Oreochromis niloticus: one gene and its partners. The protein of the gene in region 1 purifies or fractionates together with the protein of each later gene. This does not show direct contact. Links are inferred from orthologs where the notes say so. Each region holds a gene or a part of one and is shown on either strand. Other genes may lie near its edges.

Evidence for each region.
Region 2: the proteins of zc3h11a (region 1) and ncbp3 purify together in Homo sapiens (co-immunoprecipitation; 3 studies listed by BioGRID and IntAct, with this or other methods). This does not show direct contact. The link is inferred for Oreochromis niloticus from reciprocal best matches to the Homo sapiens genes ZC3H11A and NCBP3.
Region 3: the proteins of zc3h11a (region 1) and sarnp purify together in Homo sapiens (affinity purification with mass spectrometry; 3 studies listed by BioGRID and IntAct, counting the BioPlex papers as one, with this or other methods). This does not show direct contact. The link is inferred for Oreochromis niloticus from reciprocal best matches to the Homo sapiens genes ZC3H11A and SARNP.

What each region holds. Positions count from the first base shown.
Region 1 is NC_031970.2:39,571,460-39,578,402, forward strand, and holds the start of zc3h11a (zinc finger CCCH domain-containing protein 11A), read left to right. Parts: upstream 1-3,901; 5' UTR 3,902-4,018; exon of another isoform or gene 4,019-4,338; intron 4,339-5,199; 5' UTR 5,200-5,272; intron 5,273-6,943. Other genes in the region: sypl2a (synaptophysin-like protein 2a), read right to left, coding at 3,049-3,123, 3,284-3,298. UniProt on the Homo sapiens protein: Through its association with TREX complex components, may participate in the export and post-transcriptional coordination of selected mRNA transcripts, including those required to maintain the metabolic processes in embryonic cells.
Region 2 is NC_031975.2:32,673,565-32,680,590, reverse strand, and holds the start of ncbp3 (nuclear cap-binding protein subunit 3), read right to left. Parts: upstream 3,049-7,026; 5' UTR 2,959-3,048; coding exon 2,782-2,958; intron 1,923-2,781; coding exon 1,857-1,922; intron 1,603-1,856; coding exon 1,497-1,602; intron 1,400-1,496; coding exon 1,274-1,399; intron 1,141-1,273; coding exon 1,015-1,140; intron 943-1,014; coding exon 791-942; intron 708-790; coding exon 602-707; intron 1-601. Other genes in the region: rap1 GTPase-activating protein 2, read right to left, coding at 5,482-5,493, 5,671-5,741, 5,817-5,874, 6,000-6,096, 6,176-6,304, 6,521-6,612, 6,701-6,805. UniProt on the Homo sapiens protein: Associates with NCBP1/CBP80 to form an alternative cap-binding complex (CBC) which plays a key role in mRNA export. NCBP3 serves as adapter protein linking the capped RNAs (m7GpppG-capped RNA) to NCBP1/CBP80.
Region 3 is NC_031984.2:6,848,612-6,855,972, reverse strand, and holds the start of sarnp (SAP domain-containing ribonucleoprotein), read left to right. Parts: upstream 1-4,314; 5' UTR 4,315-4,435; coding exon 4,436-4,468; intron 4,469-6,880; coding exon 6,881-6,980; intron 6,981-7,361. UniProt on the Homo sapiens protein: Binds both single-stranded and double-stranded DNA with higher affinity for the single-stranded form. Specifically binds to scaffold/matrix attachment region DNA. Also binds single-stranded RNA. Enhances RNA unwinding activity of DDX39A.

The DNA of each region.
Region 1 (6,943 bases):
TATGTGTGCCTATGCCAAGAGGCACACATATTACTATTCCTCGGATTTATTATTCTTCTTATTATTAGACAAGCTTCATATATGTTACCTCATTTTGTGCGGCTGGATCTGGAATGGTGTGCTATGACTTTTGGTGTTTATGACTATTATAGTTTTTTAAATATTAATATTTTAGTGAAAATTTTCCCACGCTCCTCTGCCAAACAGTTTTGACAATAGGGTTACATATGTTACATCATTTTGTGCGGCTGGAGCTGGGCTAGTATGGTATGACTTTTGGTGTTTATGACTTTTATAGTTTTTGAAATATTTAGATTTTAGTACAAATTTAGGCCAATTTCTAGGCTCCTGAGAAAGATTCTGCTTTTGGCACCATAGAAACAGACTTCATTTGTGGTGTGTTGGCTCTCTCTAGTGGTATACCGGGAGTAGTACGGGCTAAAACTTTTATTCTTGTCGGAAAACTCCATATCCCACAATTCATAGCACGCCTCTGCCAGTGAAACAATGGCGGACACCACTTGGATTCTATAATGGTTTTTTTTGGTGTTTCTAGGTCACAAAATAAACTTTTACGATATTTTCAGGCGAGAATGTAGGTGTGTAAACTTCAAATATCTGCTCGTTTTATCAAGACATCCCATATTCTCTTACGTGTTGTTGATAGCCAGCTAGCTAGCGCCGCTAGCCTCTGCCAGTGAAACAATGGCGGACACCACTTGGATTCTATAATGCTTTTTTTCGTGTTTCTAGGTCACAAAATAAACTTTTAAGATATTTTCAGGCGAGAATGTAGGTGTGTAAACTTCAAATATCTGCTCGTTTTATCAAGACATCCCATATTCTCTTACGTGTTGTTGATAGCCGGCTAGCTAGCTAGCGCCGCAAGCTAGCGCCGTTAGCGACCCTTCGTGAAAAAGCACCCAAGTTTGGCTTATAGTGAAGCGGCAGAAAGTCGTGTCAACACCCGATTGCTCGCCAAGGGTCTGTGTTCAGCTGGACTTATTTTTCGTTTATATGGGCCGATGATGCTGGAAACCGAAGGCAGGAGCGTGAGGTGAACTGAATTTCAGGTAAGAAGTTATGAACTGCACTCTATTTGGGTCAGATATAAACCGAGTTTAGGTGTAATTTATTTTCGTTGACCTTTTACAATCGTACTGCCACGGGAGTTTATATACAGCTGTGTGCGCGCTAAGTTACTGACGTTGGACTTTATTTTATTCATAAGGGTTAGTTCATAGAGTCAGAGAAAATATTATGATTTATTCTGTCGTTACGAAGCCTCCCCTGTCATTCTCTCGCGTGTTGAAACGTCAATCATGAAACTGATCAATGATCGGCTGTTCGCTCTTATTTCTCGGGCTAACAACAGCAGCACCTTTAAGCTTGATCAGCTGTTGTTACAATTCTTTTGATTTTAATTTCTAGTATCAGCTGATGTTTGCTGGAGCATGAAGATGAACTCAGGAGATGTCCTTACTGAATCATCAGAGCTGAACTGGTGATGGAGAAACAGGTTTACACTTTAGGTGACATGAATGAGTTGAAGGGAAGTTATGAGTTGTTTCTGAGAGACAAATAAAGACCAGCTAGGGCATTAACAGAGAAAGGTGGACACAAAGATATACTTTTCTTTCTTACTCTCATATAAAATATTTAGCTTTTATTAAATAGTTATCTGAATCTCACAACCAAAGTTTGTATAATAATACACAAGATTGGCTGTAGACCATTGTTCATAATTCAGAACACTGTGTAAAATAACAAAAAACAAAAAGTGAATGCACGGCCGGCTGTGTGGGTAAACCAACCATGTGTGAAAAGTGGTCCATAACGTAATGCTTCAAAGCGTGTTCGTGCAAACATTGTCGGGTCTGCCGTGGTACAATGGGACTTCTGCTCATGAACCTGTGTGCACAGCGTCTGCAAATCGGCGCTGTACAAAGTAACTTCATCTTTACACAAAACTGTAAGCTGTCATCTGTGAAGCGTGAGCGGTGTTTGTTTTTACCATAGTTCATGGTGGAGAATGGCTGCTCTTCTGAGTTTTGCTGTCTGTAGCCGTATGAATGGCAAACTACACTGATTACTAGCGGCATAGGCACACTTAAAATTTCTTCTGAAATTTTCGCTTTCTATTTTCTTATTGTTGCCCAACATTATACCGGTATTACTGTGAACGGTTTGATATGGGCCAGCCCTATTCACAGGTCAGTGTTAAATAGCTGTAACAAACCAACAAAGAAACAAAACAAACCCATTTGAAAATGGTCAGGTATGAGAGAGCTACTGCTCCAGACCATTTTAAAACACGTCTGTCTTCCTGCAAGCAAAAGATCAACAAACCAGGCTGGCTCAACACTTTTTGCATTTATATTTCACTCTCTATAGTTCACAGTCGTGTTGAAACAAACCTTACTGTACACTAAAATGGAGCAGACTGACACACTTTCACCTTCCACGCGTGGATTTGGTGGTGCTCTAATACACAGAGCACCACCATATGTGCAGGCACACAGGCAGGGGCAATCCTAATGTGTTTTCTTTTCTTCATATTCAGTCTATTCAAAATCAAAGGGCAGTTTCACGGACTCAAACACAAGTGAGATTTACAGCTTGTTCCAACACAAGCCAAGCAGCTGCCATTCCACATCAAACTCACCCCACGGTTCAGCAACACCAGGTACCAGCCACACTGGGAGTACCACAGTGGAATTTCCTGGTAACTGGTTCAGCTGGTGGTATGACCCAGTCCTACACATAATCAGGTTTTATGATGTGATAAAAGCTGATACCCTGTTCTAGGTTAACATTTCACTGAGGAAAATGAGTAAGGTCAGTGTTATAAAATGTAACGTCGACAAAACAGACACAGAAGTTTAAAGTTCTTCATTAGTTATTCAAGCTGTCTTCTTGAATACATGTACCAGTTTAATTACTGGTACATGGATAAATGGACTCCTAGGAGACATCCCAGTGAATATTCCAGACTTCACGCTGATTGGGATAAATAACGTACAAAGACATGTATGTGACAGTGCTTACCCATTCGAGGACACGAATAAATCCCAAAGGTTCCTTCAGCGGTCCAAGGTCCAGAGAAAATCCGGCCATTGCTTTCTGTGCACCAAAGACACGCAACCAGGTGTGAACGAAAAGTACCTCTACAAACGGCGATACGTGTTAGTCACCTTGCAGCTAACTGACCCTGCCCTGGTTAAAGCAGCTGCATGCTAACGCTAGCTCACGTCAACTTAGGCACTTTAAAAAACTCACAAACCTGAACAGTGTCCATCGAAGTGTGTAAAAACTAGCAGTTAGTGTCCCGGTACTACTTTTGTCAGTTTGCATGTAAAGCTAACTTCAAGTTGGTCCGTCTGCTTTCTGCCAACGACATAGGAGCTAACAGCAGGGGGCAGTCTCAACTGTGCACGGACCCTACTGTGAAACCGACATAGTACTTCCTGTTTTTACTTTTCAAAATAAAAAGCACACGTTTGAAATCAGAAAGCGATGACTAATTTTTCTTTCAATGTGATTATTAGTTAGCGTTTCTAATGTTGGAGGGAGCGGAAGGTAATGCTGCACAATGCAGTGTGATTTTGACAGTATTTAAAATAAATTGTGTGGATCACAACATAGCCGCGATAGCAGTTTGCACCCTAACTAACTAGATTTGGCCTATCTAAATAGTTCATAATTACTTACGGTGCTTATTTATTTATTTCTACGCCAGACTGTTATTCACTAAGGGTTAGCATAGCAGAATGAATGTCTTTGCTGACATAGCCCCTAGAGAGTGTATAACACTCTTGCTGTAGACGTGATAGAAGTTTTCGAATCTTCGACCTTTCCGTGCGACTTGAACACAGCACGCAGGCCACCCCTTCGTATTTTTATTCCACCGTCGCCATTTTGCTTAAGTCACAGTGCGCTTCTGGTTTTCTTCGAGCAGGCTCGGGTTTTTCTTGCCATATTCTACAAGTTTTCAAATATCTTTTTAAATTTTAAACTGGTAATTCAACACTACATACACTGTTTACATCATATGTATGGCAGTTACATTCACGCGTTATAACACGAACGTGAATACCACGGTAATAAACGGCCGTCTGAACGCTTAGCTCACGATTAGGTCGCTAACCGCCCAAGGTTTCGGTAGGCCTCTGTTATGTACACGAGCTAAAAAAAGTGTTCATCGATTAAGCATAATAATTTAAGAGTTCACATTTTTAAACTAGAGACTAGTTAGCCCGGTTAGCTATAAAGTCATTTTCCTTTCCGACTGGGAGTCACGTAGTTCATTAGCTTTGAGACACTTTTTGTAATTCAACAGTAAGTATATGAATGTTTTCTTGGCTGTCTTGGTCTTTAAATTTATATTTTCCTCGAGTTTGAGATTCGTTATTGTTATCTGAGTGTTTCAGTTTAATTTTTGTTTGTGTCCTAATTAAGATGACGATCATAGTTAAGGCCAATTGTCACTGGCAAGCTAAGGCTTCCGTGTGTAGAGTGAAGAAGCCTCCCAAAACAGTACTTGTAGATTTTCCTGCATGAGACACTAGAAATGTGAAAGTATGTAAGTGTCGAGCAGGCTTGTTTCATGTTGCTGTGTGGAAATGTGTTTGTCCTGTTTGTCTTTCAATAACCAGTGTTCAGTTCCCCGGGCAGTGTTTCTGATGTATTTGTAGGTTTAAACCCATCCTCTTGGCCCTCTTTGGGAATCCCTGGATACGGATAATTTGCCCCCAGTTGATTGGCAGAAGATTTTTTTTTCTCCAGCATTTGGTAATCAAGACATGAAAGTCCTGCAGCGTTTTTCCTCCCAACCTCCAGCATTCAAATGTCACAAAATGTGTAAAATGCCAACAAGCCCAAGAAGAAGCTGAGGATTTTTTTCCCACCAACCACCCCACCTTTCTCATCTTTTTTCCCACATCAGTTAGAGTTTCTTCTATTTTTTCTTGTTCATGCTGTTTATGTCCCCCTACTTATTTATGTCAGTAGCCACACCAAATAGTATCAATGATGATTTACAAGAAATCCCCAAAGGACTTTATTGCATCAGCATCAGTATTGTTTAGCGGTTTGGCAGAGATCAGGATGTCTCAGAAATGGGATGTCGTAGGAAGACTAATGTCTTTGGGAGACCCACCCCACTTTTCCTCTTATCTCATGGATCAAGTGTTCCTTCAGGATTTCCTTACTACTGTGGAGACTCCGTACCAGCTGTGCACTCAAGAGGCAGACCACTTCTCTACTACCTCAGGTAAATGAGCTGCAATGCTTCACACAAAAGCAACATTTTGTTGTTGAAATGTTATAGGCCATCTCACATGAGTACAGGTCAGCTTTACAGATTACTCTCAGTGCAGTTTTTTTGCCTTTTCTACAAATTTGTCAAATTGTTTTTTTTAATTTTTCTTGTGCAGAACATCTTGTTGTTTGTAGGGCTGCCACAAACGATTATTTTGATAGTCGACTAGTCATCGATTATTTTTGCATTAGTCGACTAATCAGATCATGCATCCATTGGACGTAACAGGTACAGCTGATTGCACCAGCAGCATCTGCTCTTATATAACTATCATTAGCTTACAGCTTTGAGTGTTGAAGGTATGTGCTAACTAAAAATAAAGACAAGATGATAGTTTATTAAATTTTAATGACATTTGCAGATTGTTTAGGTGGAGTTTAATAAACCCAGCCTTCTGCTCCTTGCTATCTAAAATATAACAGGACACCGGAGTATATTCTCGAGCATCTCACACTTCTGATAATCAGCTGTCTGCTTGACGTTTATTCAGCTGTGTGAAAACTATAACTTTAATCTCAGCCAAACCGATTTACTCAGGAACAAATAAAATTGTGAAAAAAGCCAAACAATAACATTTTTAAATTACCTAAGTGACTTATGTATCATGTTTAACCTGAGTAGCGAAAGACCGCGGTGGGTTTGAAAATGATTTGCCAGGAGTCCGGTGTTCTCACCGGCTCTAGTGAGCCTTGAACCCCGGCTAGCTATCGAGCTGGTGGGTAACAGACGTCTCTGAAAACGTTGGCGCTCTTTTGAAAATATGTGGTGTCTTGATAAACCAAGCAGATATTTGAAGTTTACACAGCTACATTCTCACCTGAAAATATGTTAAACGTTTATTTTGTGACCCAGAAAGAATAATAAGAGTGATATTAAAACTAACTAGCTGCCGCCATTGTTGGAAACTGATGAATTCTGGGATAGATTGGGCCACGAAGGATACACCCGACCCATCCTTCAAATCTGGGGAAATGAAGGGCGCAATTGTCGGAGTCTTCGAATTTGGACAGTCTTTGTAGTGTCGCTGTAACGTAATTGGCCTACAAATGCGGGCACAGGAGGATGCGGCTCCTGAATTTGGACACAGCTATGATACCGGACACAGCTGCTTCTTCTTCGGAGTGTAACAGCAGCTGGCATCCTTGTACATGCAGTGCTGCCATCTTCTGTTTCAGTCAGTTATTACACTCTTAAATCCTACTACTTATTCCTGCGTCTGTCGGGATCTTACAAAGCTTCAAACGACGCGTCGACTATTAAATTAGTCGTCGACGATTTTGATAGTCGACGTAATCGTGACTAGTCGATGAATCGTGGCAGCCCTAGTTGTTTGACTTGAAATCTAGTTGGTGATGTACAGAGTCTGGGTGAACGTTGTGAGTTGGTGCTTCATAAATAAAATGAACTGAATTAAAAATGGAGTGAAAAAGAAACACTCATTGTGTCATGGGGAGCACTATAACTATATGCTTTAGCAAAAAGGAAAGTTTGAAGCCTAATCTTGAAAGTAGAGATAGTGTCTGTCTCCTGAATCCAAGTGTTAGGAACAACAAGTAAGCCTGTAGTGTGAGAGCGAATTGCTCTAATAGGGTGATATGGTACTACAAGGTCATTAAGATAAGA
Region 2 (7,026 bases), on another chromosome or scaffold:
ATTTTAGTTCAACTGGGTGTCTTTCCTTTTGTTATATTTTTTTAAGAGTTCAAAATGTGTTAATTACATAAATAAAATGTAATTTTCTCTGTAGCACTTCATGGATTTCATAAGCAGCACACCTTAGTTTCTCTGTGGATTCTTTTAAAAAGCAGTTAAAAACCTTTCTGTTCAAACAAGCCTTTTGTTGATCTACGTATTTTATATTCTTTACATTATTTACATTAGATCTTTTACATTGTGTATAATGTCTATTGATTGTAGTGTTTATTTTAATATTTGTGTACAGCGCTTTGTGACTGCCTGTCTGTGAAAAGTGCTTAATAAATAAACTTTACTTACTTACTTTAGTTGTTTACACAAAGCACAAAGATAAAACAAACAATATATACAGTGTTATCTTCATTTTAGATGTCAAAAAGTATTTGCGGCTCCCAGTGTTTTCTTTTGCGTGGAAACCGGGTCCAAGTGGCTCTTTGGGTGTAAAAGGTTGCTGACCCCTGGGTTAGGGTAAGAGGGCAGGGAAACCATTATGTCAATGAAGGTCCTCACTAAGATAGCTGAATGGGCTTGTGCGTGTGTGAGTGTGTGTGTGTGTCACCTTGCGTGGCGAAGCGCAGCAGCAGCTTGTTTCCTTTGAAGGGTTTGATGGCGGGCCGTAGGTCGTTCCTCAGCAGGGATGCTCTCTCCGCCCGCGACAGGTCGGCCTGCGCGCACACAGCCGATGACATCATCGATCACTTTTGGGCACTGGTCAGTAAACCTGATGATTGGTCAGGTGGCGTCCTACCTGTCCGCTCTCAGATTTCGTCTTTGTCTCTGCGTCGCTGTCTCTCCCCTCAATCTCCTCGCTGCGCTTCTTCGCCGTTTCCTCTTCACCTTCGTCTACCTCGCCCTCCTCCTCTTCATCGTCCTCGTCATCTGACCCTTGACCTCGCCGACCTGCGACATCGTAACATTTACCCACAATGCCCTGAGGCTTCTGGTGGTTTCCCCTACAGTACTCGAACTCACCTTTGCTCTGCTCGCCCGGCTGGCTGGTGCCTCCCGTCTCCGTGGTAACAGCCTCCGAGTCAGGCATCCGGCTGGTGTTGATAAGCGCCCGAATGGGGGTGTCGTCATCCAGCCAAACCACGTTACCTAGGAAACCATCAGGTGGTGAGAACAGGGTTTGACCTGAGCTGTGATTGGCTGGGAGAGTCACATGCCCCGCCCCGTGCAGTAGCTTCATGAGCTCCGCAGCCGGGCTCTTCTGTCTGCATGCCGTACTCACAGGAAGTGTCGTCGATCCACTCGATGTGAGCCGGAGGATACTCTTTAAAGTACCCGAAGACGTCCTGCGTGCTCATGTCGTCCACGCCCATCACATGGATTGCCTCCATGCGCAGCTGGGGGATGGCTGGGCACCACAGAAGAAGAAGACGACGACATGTTAAACGAGCTCCTCATCAGGAAAAGGTTGGCTCTGCCTGCTGACAGTCATGGAGGACACGTACCTTTCTTCATGGCGTCTTTATCCAGGAAAACGTTCCGCTGGCCGATCTTCTCCTCCCCGTGGAAATGGAAACGCTGCGCTCGCTTCTCTTTCCTCTCGATCGCCTCCTGATGAGGAAGAAAAAGGAAATAAGTCGAGTATTCAGAGGAGTTTGAACCCTGAGCTTCCCACTCAGCTATCACTCTTTACCTGATATCATCAGGTCATGGTGACCTTTGGAAAGGTCACTCACATGAGTCCTGACCCTACAGGCGCTCAGAGACTCTTGCATGTACTTCACTAACATCGCCCACAGTGAGAAACACTTTAAAGTGGCAGCCTAACGCCCACACACACACACACACACTCTCTGATGGTTTACCTTAGAGTTGACGTCGATTCCAGTGATGAAGGCTCCAGCCTTGTTCTCATACCGCCGACTGGTGTCCTGTGAAACAGACAGACAGCAGTGAGCCACGGTTTCACTTTCTCTTTGAGCCGTTTCTGTTTGTTTGCTTCAGCAACATTACAAAGTGACTGTAAACACATGGGAAACACAGGCTGTATGAAGTCCACAGCAGCAGCCACACAGGCCTCCACAGTAAAGACTCAACTCTAATGTGACTTTCACACAAGAAGAAAACCTTCATTTCTCCAGCTGATAAACTGCTCTGGATACTGTTGGTGTGCTAGCAGGGAGAGGAAACACCCGCGAAGGTATAAAAACTACTAAGTGTGCATGCATTCAAATCGAATAACTTCACCCGTTTTGCATTTCTCTGCACGTAAAAACGTCAAACTTCCTAGTTTTAGATGAGGTTTGGTGGCAGGGACGCTCTACACTAGCAGGAAGAGTAAATAACAAAGGAAGAATAATGAAATCCAGGTTCACGCTTAGAAGAAAGCAGAACTGTTCGGTATGCGCATACCTGCTGAAATAGTTGCGGAAAATGAGCACTCTGCGGTCTCTGCTTTTTCTTTTTTTTTATTACACGTAAACATCTTAAATTCGATGTTTTTTAAATAGAGTTTGGTGGGACGTGCGCTCCACACAAACAGCACGTGAACACAGCAACAAGTGACTGAAATAAACACGAACCCCGCAAACATGTCGAAAACGTAAACCAGCCCGGTTAACGCGAGGCCCCCGCCGCTCATCGGCAGCCCCTACAGCGCGGAGGGAGGGGGGCGGCTGACTCCCGGGAGAGAGCCGGGAGTCCAAGTAACCGCTAGCCGACACTTCCCGCGGATCTGCCGGGCGACGGAGACGCCAGTCCCCGGAGTGCCGGGGCCTAGTCCGGGCTTACCGGCAGCAGCTCCTTCAGAGAGCGGTTAACGGAGATGTCCTCGGGGTCCAGCTCTCCCTCCTCCACCTCCATCGGCTCGGCTTCGCGGGCATCTCTGTCCGACTCGGAGTCCGAGTCCGAGCGGTCGGAGCCGCTGTCTGATTTCACCGAGACCCGCAAGCTGCGTACTGCCGCCATGGTGCTAACCCAGCAGCGAACAACGGCCTCTAGCGCTGCGGCTCTTGGCTGACCCGGAAACGGTACCTACGACTTCTTCTGCGGCCTGCAGGCGGCGCGCCGGAGCTCTTCCGCCCCCTGCGGTTATTAAAGGTAAAACATGATGTCATGCTCAGCAGAGGGCGGTGCTGAATAACAGACACTTTAACAGCGTCACAGACGATATATTAAAACATGTAAACCAATGTTTTTAATAAATGTGTAAATGTAAACAGCCCTAAGTATAACAGGGCTGAAGTGTACTGCACAATGTCTGAAAAATCTAAACAAAAAAGTACAAAGTAATTAATAAACAGGTAATCAAGATAACATTGTCAGAATTACAATAAATAAATAAATACATAAACACAAGGCTGTAACGGAAATGGAAAGTAATGAAAACGCAGTATAAAAACGTTTATTCATCCCGTTATTTAAACAATAACTTTTCTTTCTCTTATTTATAAAGTTTCATATTTATTTGCTTTAATTGTTTCATAACCGATACTGAGACATACTAATGCACAAATAAACACGAACACGAAATAAGAAGAACAGCTAGTCAATAATTCCTTGTTAGTTTTGGTTCTTTTACAAAAGAACAATCAACTTTTTTAATGTTTTGAACTTTAACCAGCATCTGGTTCTGAGGCAGTTTGTAGCTGCTGGTTAGTATGAAAAATGACGTCTGCAGATGAAGCGGGTCTTCAGTAAAAAAAAAAAATTTAAAAAAAAGTTGGGAGAAAATGAAACGACAAAAACAACAACAAACACTGAAAGAAGCTGATTTTTATTTGTGAAATGTTCAGTTTTACAGGTTTTACAACACACACACACACACACACTTTATGACATCAGAAAACTGCGCAGACATCTTTGTGTTCATGCTGCATCATCTTTTATTTTGAAAAGCTGAACTCCTGCAGCTGTGCAGCTTCCAGTGGAGTGAGTGACCTGGAGACTTGGCGTGATTAGTGCGAACGTCTCTCAGAGAGGGAGAGCGAAGCTTCAGACCCCATCATCAGACCAATCACAGCGCTTCTTGTTCTTCTCCCTGACCTCCAGCAGCTCCACCTCTCTGACTCACCTGCAGCACCGCCCACCTGACCCCCGTCGCTCAGACCCTGTGTGCTGCAGATCATCACACTGCGACTCCTGCAGCAGGAGTGAAACTGATTTGGTTGCAGTTTAAAAAAGGTTCAGGTTGAGCTCACGACGTTGTAATGTGTGAGGAGAACGGCAGCGTCTGTCTCTAACGTGTCTGAATCTGAACCCACAGCCACGTGTTATTATTTGTTATTAATAAGAATAAATCCCACAGAGCTCAGCATGGACGCGCAGACCGAGCAGCTCCAGCAGTTAACGTGTTTCCTGTATTTCCGTCCTTTTTAACCTGAGTGCATGCGCTCGCCTTCCTGTGTCTGTGTTGAGAAACCATCAGAGTCACGACCCAACGACAAACTTTAGGCCTGTAAAGGCCTCGCATCCACCGCAGGAACTCTCCTCCAGGACCAGGAACCTTCGGGGGGACCAGCACCGTGCCGGCTGACAAAAAGACTAAACAGCACTCAGGACCAGTCATCTAACAGGGAGACAGGGGGCGGGTAGTTGCAGTTCTTGTGGTTGCCTCTGATATGAGTGAATCCCCAAACTTTGAGCTGCTGTGCTGTTTTTGTTTTTCTTGTTTTGGTTGAAATGATTGGACCCCCGCAGAGAGGACATCTCCCAGCTGGATGGGAGCACCTCAGCGGTGTTTGGGGAGAGGGGCATTAACCGCTGCCCCTCAGGGAAGCTTAGCTGCTCGGGTCCTGGTCCTTTGGGTGGAATCTCAGCCCCTCTCTGCAGCGCCCCCTGGTGTTTCTGTGATAAATAAAGTTTCTAGGGAACGAGCGAGCCTCCTCTTTACATCTTACACTGAAAGAAGCGCAAAACAGGGAGAGCTCTGTGGGTCGAACTTGACTGTAGGACGGTTTAAAAAGAACTACGTGTTCAGTGTCCTGTTCAGAAATGATTTTATGGTTTGTGCAGAAGATGAGAAGAAAAAAACAGACAGAAACAGGAGAGCTGCACTTGGGGTCCTCACAAAGACAGAAAGACAAGTATGTGTGTGTGGTGGTCCATCAGGAGACTCTCCTCCTCCTGCTCCTGCTCCTCCTCCTCCTCCTCCTCCTCCTCCTGTGTGGAGACTGCCGTCTGTTTGAAGCTTCAGGCTTTTATTCTGGAAAGCAGCGAGAGAAAGAGGAACACATCAAACCCAGCTCAGAGAGTCGCTCACATCATGGCCCAGAAAGTGTGAACACGAGCCACCCAAGACAAGCGCCAGGGCGAGAACGCCAACCAAGACAGGAAGTAAAACACGAGACGCTACAGGAGGAACTAACTTTCAAAATAAAGCAGGAAGTAGACTCAGAAGCAGAACAGAGTGACAGAAGCAGCACTTTGAAAAATGGAATTTAAAATCGGACTTCTGGGAAAGCACACACCTGTCAGCGGCGTCCTGTCAGCTCAGTGTCCCTGCTGCAGACAGAAGGAAGGTTTCACACTCAGTAATCAGATTACACAGAAAATACTTGAAAAATCACACTGAACAAAATAACAAAAAGCAGTGACGTCCTGGAGGCGTGCAGCCCAATCAGCTGCTCCGCATATTCAGGTAAACAGCGAGCCTGCTGATTGGCTGTCACACAGACTTACTGCGGCGGAGTGGCTGAGCTTGTCGAAGCGAAATTTCAGGTTGGATCTGGGCGAGTTCTTGTTTTTCAGCTCTGAGAGAGGAGAGAGCAAACGAGACGTGAGAACGGCTCCAGAACAGAAACGCTGGCGGTGAGCGGGCGTCGCACCTGTGGGGCTGCGGCACACGATGACCGGAGCTGAACTCTGACCTTCTACCGTCGCAGCCTATACACGTAGAGACACAGAGGGAGGACGCATTGATGAGGGTCTGCATTACAATACAAGGCGCCCTAAATAACACTGAGCTGAATATAACGCTGACCCAACAGATGGTTTAAGTGTGTTTTCACCTGTCTCACCAGGTGTGTGTCGTCAGCTGGGATGCTGAAGCTGCAGGTGCTGGATGTCGACCTGGAAATCTTACTGCTCTCCTTCTTCGTGTGAATCCTGCCGATAAAAGTAAAAAAGTGATGAAGTTTATTGTTTCGCAGTGAAAACTGAAACATCTGCTTCTTTCATTTCTTACTGTTGCTGCTTCTGCTGCACACACCTGTCCCGCTGCCCCGCCTCCGGAGTGCTAGGATTGGACGGCAGCTCCGGCCTCACCTCCAGCATCGGGTGGCATCCGTCGAAGCTCCTCTGCTCACCGGGGAGGCTGAGGAGGCGTAACAGAGACAGGAGGAGGCGGGGTTAATGTCCTGAAAGCAGGTAAGAGCTGTTAGCTCAGTAACACGCAGCACACCTGCTGAGACTGGCTCTCCTGAAGGTGTGCCCCCACCTGTGCAGCAGTGCTGACATGCACACTGGTGGGTTTGAACTTTATTGTCCAGGTAAACAAACTGAGAGACAGGAGAGCGTTGGGCAGCGTTACCTCCGCTGGCTGTGCTTCTCTGTTTGGCTGTCGACGCTCAGCAGGCGAGGAAAAAGTCCCGAGCGCCGCTTCACGGGAGACTTGACGTTACACTGCCAACGCAAAGAGTCCAGGTGTTACAGCCGCTCACAGACGAGCGGGGTTCAACCTGCTCCTTCAGTTACCTGCAGAACAACTCACCTCCACGTTCAGGTGTGCCAGACCCCCCCCACTCAAACTGGTGGGCAGTCCAGCCCCGCCCCTCGACATGGTCTCCATGGAGACGCTCCTCCCTCGCATCGCCCTCTGAAATGGAAGAAGTGATGTCCAGTAATGGAATCCTGATTTGTTTGACACAAATGGCTTCTTCCTGTCCTCGCCTTTCACAATAAAAGCTCTAGGTATCTACACAGTGTGACTGTGACTCTAATACAGAAAGCAGCCGTTTGCAACTGAAATAAAAACTTATCTCCGGTTTTACTGGCTATGAAATTCATGTTTTTCCTAAGAAATATTTTTTTGTTGCT
Region 3 (7,361 bases), on another chromosome or scaffold:
GTGTTTCCTGTTTTACTTTGAAGGTCTCTGTCTTTTCTCAGTGTGTTCAGTTTACGCTTCTTTGTCTCGTTAGTCCTGATTTGCCCCAGCTGTGTTTCCCTCCTGTTGCCCATTCCCTGATTACTCCCTCTGCGTATTTAAGTCCTGTGTTTTCCTGTGCTCTCTGTCGCGTTCTACCGTTTACTTAGCTGTGTGTTCTGTTAGTCCTCTGGTTTAAGTTTATTTTGATTTTTTCCAGTCATGTTATGTTACCCCTTTTTGAGTTTAGTATTAAAGCTGTTTTGAGTTCACCTTTGGTCTCCGGAGTCTGCACCTTGGGTCCTATTCCTGTCTGCACACAGCCTGCACTTAACAGAAGAACGCGACCATACTATGGACCCAGCAGACTCTGTTTGGTATCGGCGACCCGCAGTTTCTGCCTTCCTCAAGGAGAGCGTGAGGCAGGAGGCTAAGCATGCCCAGGAGCTCCAGTCACCCTTCTATGGGTCTCGTTTGGCTTTCGGAGGGCCCCGCAGCCTCCAAACTGCCATGGCCATGGCCGAGCCGGCGCCTATGCCTCGGGCGATCAGATTGAGCACGTGCTCATTCTCTCCAGTCGCTACACCTCCGCCTCCACCCCTGGATTACCAGTCCGACAAGAAGGTTAAGCGGCGGAGGAAGAGGGATTACGTGACGCCGGACGTTAGACTCACTCCGCTGCAATCCTTCGCTCTGTTTTTGGGTCTGCCACGTTCTGAGCTTCACAAACTCTCTGCTTCCTCGTCGCAGCCCGGTCTTTTGGAGGGTTCGCAGCCCAGTTTGCCACCTCCCACTTCCCGGAGAAAGCGACGTTCACGCAGTCGCCACTCTGTCTCTGCTGAGCCACTCCCCGTGGTGAGTTATAATGACTGTTTTCATTCTGCTCCCTCTAAGCTGGAAAAAGACAATCATATGAACACTGCTAAAACTGAGACTGTTAAGACTATTACACATGGTGGTGGTAGGAAGCTAAAAAACATTTTAGAGGATTCTGTGTTTTCTGACCCTGCTCCTTCGCCCAGTTGTGTTCCTGCTCCCAGGGCGGCTCGGGCCCAGCATTCCCCTGCACCTGTTTCAGTGCTTCAGGTGAGGGAGGCTGAGGTCCAGCTGGTCCCTGCTCCGGTGCCTGTCGCGGCACCCGTACCTTCTCCTCGGGTGGGAGAGGCCGGTATCCGGCAGGTACCTGCACCTGTTTCTGACCTCGCTGGAGGCTCAGGTGAGCCCGTCCAGCGATTTTCTTCAGGTTCTGGAGGCTCAGGGGAACTAGCTCAGCTTACTGCTAATCCACCACCTAACCCACCATTACTACCATCGTTACAACAGTCAATAGAACTTAAACTTCTATCCATAGCTCGAACATTAGCTCACCTATCGGCTCAGTCACCTGCTCAGTTTTCACCTCAGTCGTTTACTCAGCCGTTTATTCCTGCTGGAGGGTCCGAGGGACCGCTCCAGCCTTTGTTCGTCTCCGCTGGAGGGTCTGAGGGGTCCGTCCAGCCTTCTGTTCCCACTGGGGGTTCTGGAGAACCGCGCCAGCCTTTGTTCGTCTCCGCTGGAGGGTCCGAGCGGCCCGTCCAGCCTTCTGCCTCCGCTGGAGGGTCCGAGCGGCCCGTCCAGCCTTCTGCCTCCGCTGGAGGGTCCGAGCGGCCCGTCCAGCCTTCTGCCTCCGCTGGAGGGTCCGAAGGGCCCGTCCAGCCTTCATCGCCACCACCTGCGGCTCCCACGCCGTCACTTGGTCCAGCTACGGCTACGGCTTCGTCCTCGCCTGGTCCAGCTACGGCTTCAGCTCCGCCGTTGTCTGGTCCAGCTTCAGCATCGCCTGCAGCGTCACCCTCGCCCGGTCCGGCCTCCGAGTCTTCGCCTTCGCCGTCACCCTTGCCCGGTCCGGCCTCCGAGTCTTCGCCTTCGCCGTCACCCTTGCCCGGTCCGGCCTCCGAGTCTTCGCCTTCGCCCGGTCCGGCCTCCGAGTCTTCGCCTTCGCCCGGTCCGGCCTCCGAGTCTTCGCCTTCGCCCGGTCCGGCCTCCGAGTCTTCGCCTTCGCCCGGTCCGGCCTCCGAGTCTTCGCCTTCGCCCGGTCCGGCCTCCGAGTCTTCGCCTTCGCCCGGTCTGGCCTCGGCTACAGCTTCGCTTGGTCCTGCCTCGGCCACGCCGACGTCCGGACCACATCCTGCGCCTCTACAGCGCCGGCCTCCTTCCAGGCCTCTGATTACGCGTCCTGGTCCTGCTCGTCCTGCTCGTCCTGCACGTCCTGTCCGGCCTGCTCGTCCTTTCTGGCTGCTTTCCAAGCCGATGATTGGGCATCCTCGCCATCGTGGACGGCCTCCTGACCTGCTCCGTCGCCGCCGGTGCCTCCCGCCCGGCCGGCCTCCTGACCTGCTCCGTCGCCGCCGGTGCCTCCCGCCCGGCCGGCCCCCTGAACTTTTTTCTGGACTCTTGGGTCGTCGTCCTCCGGGCCGGCCCCCTGAACTTTGTGACCTGTTTTTCCTGGCCGCCTGTGTGTTTTGTTATGTTGCTTTCTGGGCTCCGTTGTTTGCGGGGTTTTTTTTGTTTTTTGTTTTTTTTGTTTCTGGCTCCTTGTTTGGTTTGTTTCGAGCCCTCCGTCCTGTTTCCCCCACCGCCCGCCCTGGTTGGGTTGTTTTTCGTTTTTGGTGATTCTGGTTTGGGCTGTCTGGAAGCCAGCCCTTAAGGGGGGGGTACTGTTAGGAGGCCTGGGTCGTTGACCCAGGGTTTTTGAGTTTGTTATATTATTTATAATTTCTAGTCTTTGGTTTCTTTGAGTTCTGTCTTATGGTTTTTGTCTGTCGTCTCTAGTTGCTGTCTCCCCTGTCAGCTGTATCCCCTTGTCTAGTTCGCTTCTCTGTGTATCCTTAGTTGCTATATCCCCGTGTCCAGTCAGTCTGTGTCTATAAGCTCAGTCTGTGTTGTGTTTCCTGTTTTACTTTGAAGGTCTCTGTCTTTTCTCAGTGTGTTCAGTTTACGCTTCTTTGTCTCGTTAGTCCTGATTTGCCCCAGCTGTTTCCCTCCTGTTGCCCATTCCCTGATTACTCCCTCTGCGTATTTAAGCCCTGTGTTTTCCTGTGCTCTCTGTCGCGTTCTACCGTTTACTTAGCTGTGTGTTCTGTTAGTCCTCTGGTTTAAGTTTATTTTGATTTTTTCCAGTCATGTTATGTTACCCCTTTTTGAGTTTAGTATTAAAGCTGTTTTGAGTTCACCTTTGGTCTCCGGAGTCTGCACCTTGGGTCCTATTCCTGTCTGCACACAGCCTGCACTTAACAAAGTCCTCATGTTTTTAAATCAACTATTTGCTCCATACGTGTGACATTATGTTTTGTATTAAAAAACATGCTGCTAAACAAACTGAGGTAAACTAACTGTTATTTAAAGGTGACATGAAAATCCTCTGTATGTTAGTGCAGGATCTGTACTGTGATGGATTTAAAATAAAGAACAGTGTGTGACTGTTGTACAGTGGCTGCGGTTTCATGGTCAGTTAGGTTACATCAAGTTTAGCAGAGATGAATCTGAAGCTAAGCTCATGATCCTGAGATTCATTCACTGAATTCCATCTTTATACCAGCTTTATACTGTCTAATATAAAGACAGTATAAACAGTTTGCTGTCAGTGTAGAGGACTGAAGTCAGCCAGGAGAACTTTTGAGACATCTGCTGACATCTTGTTGAATTCAGTTGTTTAAATCCACAAAGAGCAGGATGTCAGCTGATCACAGCCTGTACACTAAGAAAATCTAGTGGAGCTCTCAATAGTGGGTTAGGGTTAGCCCACAATGAGTCAGCTGACTTTTAGGGTTCCTCCGCCTGCTGAATCCGCTTTAACCCCTTGCCTACACATTTTCCTGTTTAGAGGCAAAGTCATCCTCTTCAATGTAGGCAACAGAAAATAGAGCTGTTTTTGTTTTCGTATTTTTTCTCTGCCGATGTTTTAACCACTTCAAGCTGAGTTACCTTCATTGGGATTAAAATTTAGACTGAAATCACCTGCTTTGGATGTTAGTGTTCCTATCTACTAATATTATTTCATTATTAGATTTATATTGCCCGAGGATCAGTTAGCTTTGCATTAAAATGGGTGGTTTGAAGATTTAAGGCAGATTTGAGGGCAAAAGGGGGTCTAACCTGCTAATGAGTTGTATTTAGTTGGTTTTCAATTAAGTTTAATTCAGTTGCATGTATATACCGCTAAATCACAGCAACAGCTGCCTCAAGGCGATTTATACCGTAAGGTATAAGACCCTGCAATAATACAACCATCACACCGTGGGCTCTGTACGTGCACACGCCTGCAGGGTGTCAGCCGCAGCGGTGGGCGGCGCTGTGACAAACCGAGTGAGAGAGGAGGAGCTGAGAAGGAGAGCAGCTCCGGTTTGATTTGCGGAAGTAAACACATCAACAAAGAAAGATGGCCGAAGTGATAGAGCTGCAGAAGCTTAAGGTTGGTATTTCCCTAAAATATGCACTTTATAACCCGCATTTAGTCGTTTTTTAAAGATAAAGATAGCTTTTAACCGGAGTTAGATGCAGGACCGGAGGTCGGGGTTACGTTAATTAACCGTTTTGAAGAACAAAATGACGTCCGGCTGAGAAGGCGAACACCCGGCATGTGTTCAAAGAGCTAACGGCGGGCTAACGTTAGAATGCATCGGCTAAGGAGAGGGAAAAAACATTAAATATGAAATTACTGTAAAATAACAAATATTGTCATATACAGAGTCACCTACTGTCTCTGAACGTTAACAGCAAGCTAATTTGGCTAAGGCTAGCCCAACATTGGCTCGTAAAAGTGCAGCTCAGTTTACTCGGTCTCTGACTCTACACTCACAACTGTCCTAAAATGCTGCCGCCAGGCTTTTTGCCCAAAGCAAACTTATATCAAACGCTTCACAGGGAGTTTAGGGTTATATTTTTTTTTTTTTAATTTATTATTTGTTTTTTTAACTGTCCGCACTTGTTTGGCGTCTCTCGATAAGTGAAAGGATAACTCGCGCCGGGAATTTGACTCCATCTCAGGCCACACAACATAAAGATGAGCAGTATGTGTAAACTCTGTGTGTTTGTGGCATTTAGTTTAGTTATCCCCAAAATGTTGGGAGATTCCTGAGTCACAGAAGCCGAAACATTAAACACGACTTACAACAAAGAAATGAAGTAAATTATTAAGATAAATAAAATAGCTCACATCACACGAGGGGAGCGACAGGAAGAGGGGAAATGAAACTAAAGAAGCCAGTTAGTAAAAATATAATATTTGAACGAAGGTAAAGCTTTTCTGTCCGAGTGTGGTCTGGATCTATTTGTTATCTGTGTCCACACTGATAGGTTTGTAGTTTAAACCTATTCGCTGGAACGTTCAAGGCAATTTACTACACAGCAAAAACAAGACACAAGTAGGCAAAGTTCTTTGTAGTACTCATGCATGAGGGAGGCCTGCCTGGAGCCAAGTGTCGTTCCACCCACTTGACCTCCGTCAGACTCTCAGCCAGGTTCCCCATAGCACTCCTTTTATTGTGGTTACATGAATATGCATAGGTTCATTAACATATAACATCTTACATAGGTATACATGTGAACAAAGAATACCTTGTGTGTGTGTGGGGGGGGGTCAAGATGTGACCCCTTGAAGACTCCCCAAAGCTGGTGCCAGGAGTCTAGCGGTACATCTGAACAAAAGGCCCTTACACTCAAACAGATATACGTATGTTTGCTATACTATATATCAGCAAGAGAAGATACGACCTCTCCTAGGAGGTGTGTGATCCATGCCAGAACACTCTGAAGAGGAGTGAATGCACTCCCCTCTTCATGCTACACAGAGTTGTTACAGACCTCCTAGGATGAGACATTCTTTCATATGCCATCAACTATATACTTATAAACACAAATGATTACATGTTTCTCAATACAAATGACAATAATAAAATATAAACCCAACACACACGTTTAGATGATCTGTGCGTCAGCTGATGGAGGAATCCAAGTAGTGTTTTTGATTCAGACTGTATTCAAACTCCAAGGGCAGTGATGGAAAACGATTATCTGAAAACTAATGCAGAGTAGCTTTCAGGAAAGAAAAACACCAGCGTGCATTTCATTACATTAAAGGTGCTGAAAAGGTGCTATAGGGGGAAAAAAATTAGGTGGATAACTTGTTACTGAAATTAATTTAAAAAGCAAACAACACAGATTTCTTTACTTAAATGGGTTTCTAATGTGATTTAATCCAATGAATTTCATATGTGATTGTTGTGTTTTCATATTTGTGTGTGGGCTGGAGACATCTGATTTTGACTACCCTAACTAATAGTTAGGGGTGTTTTCATTCTGTTGTTTTTCTGGGACTTTTTCAAGAATAACAAGAAAGTTGTCACAGCACTTATTAACCTGCTGTTTCTGCAGGCAGTCATATACCTGTGATGCAGCCTAGCCAAGACTTGTTTTCCTCAACAGAACTGGTCTTCAGTTCCATCCCCCTAATGAAAGCAAGATCGGTCCACATAAAAAGGGTTATTCTACATTACTGACATGGAGAATGAGAATTACTCATTCCTCTTTATACTTCTTTGAAGTCTGACTGAAGGGCACGTTAGTAGTAGCTGCACTGTAGGCTAGTTCCTCACAAAAAAATGACAGGTACTCAAACGTCTGCACTAAGACTGATGCTCACCAACTGATGATGAAGTTTATCTTTTGCTGACCCTCACATATTCTTTGACCTGCAAATTTGTCACATCCACATAACAGAAGTAATAGTGGTATGTGTACCTAAATAGTAAATGGTCTGTGTTAGATGGATTAATGACCAAAAATGTCAGGTTTAAGTAAATGAACTCTGGTTTTTTATTTGTAGCTTGCTGAACTGAGGCAGGAATGCGATGCCCGAGGTTTGGAGACCAAGGGAAACAAAGGGGAGCTCATCGCCCGACTCCAGGCTTATCTGGAGGAACACGGTGAGGAACAATACTTTTCTTATTGTCACTCATTTAGCTCGCGCACACACACACACAAACATTTCATTTACCTCCCTAAATAAAGGGCTTAAAATCCAGCCCCGTGAAACGTGAGAGAAGAGTCGTTTATGTCTGAAACTATATAGAGAGCTAAAACAGAGCTTTTCCATATTTGCTAGATCAACTTTGATTTTGTTTCCAACCCAACATTATGCATGATTTTGAATAAAAGAAATGCTGAAAAGCGTTGTAATGGTTAAACACAGAATTATCATACCTGATTTTGCTGATGGTTCATTATGCTTATTGCTTAATGCTAAACAGAGTATACCGTGAGCGACACTCACCACTAAAGAATGTCTGACTTTTCAAATGTATGAT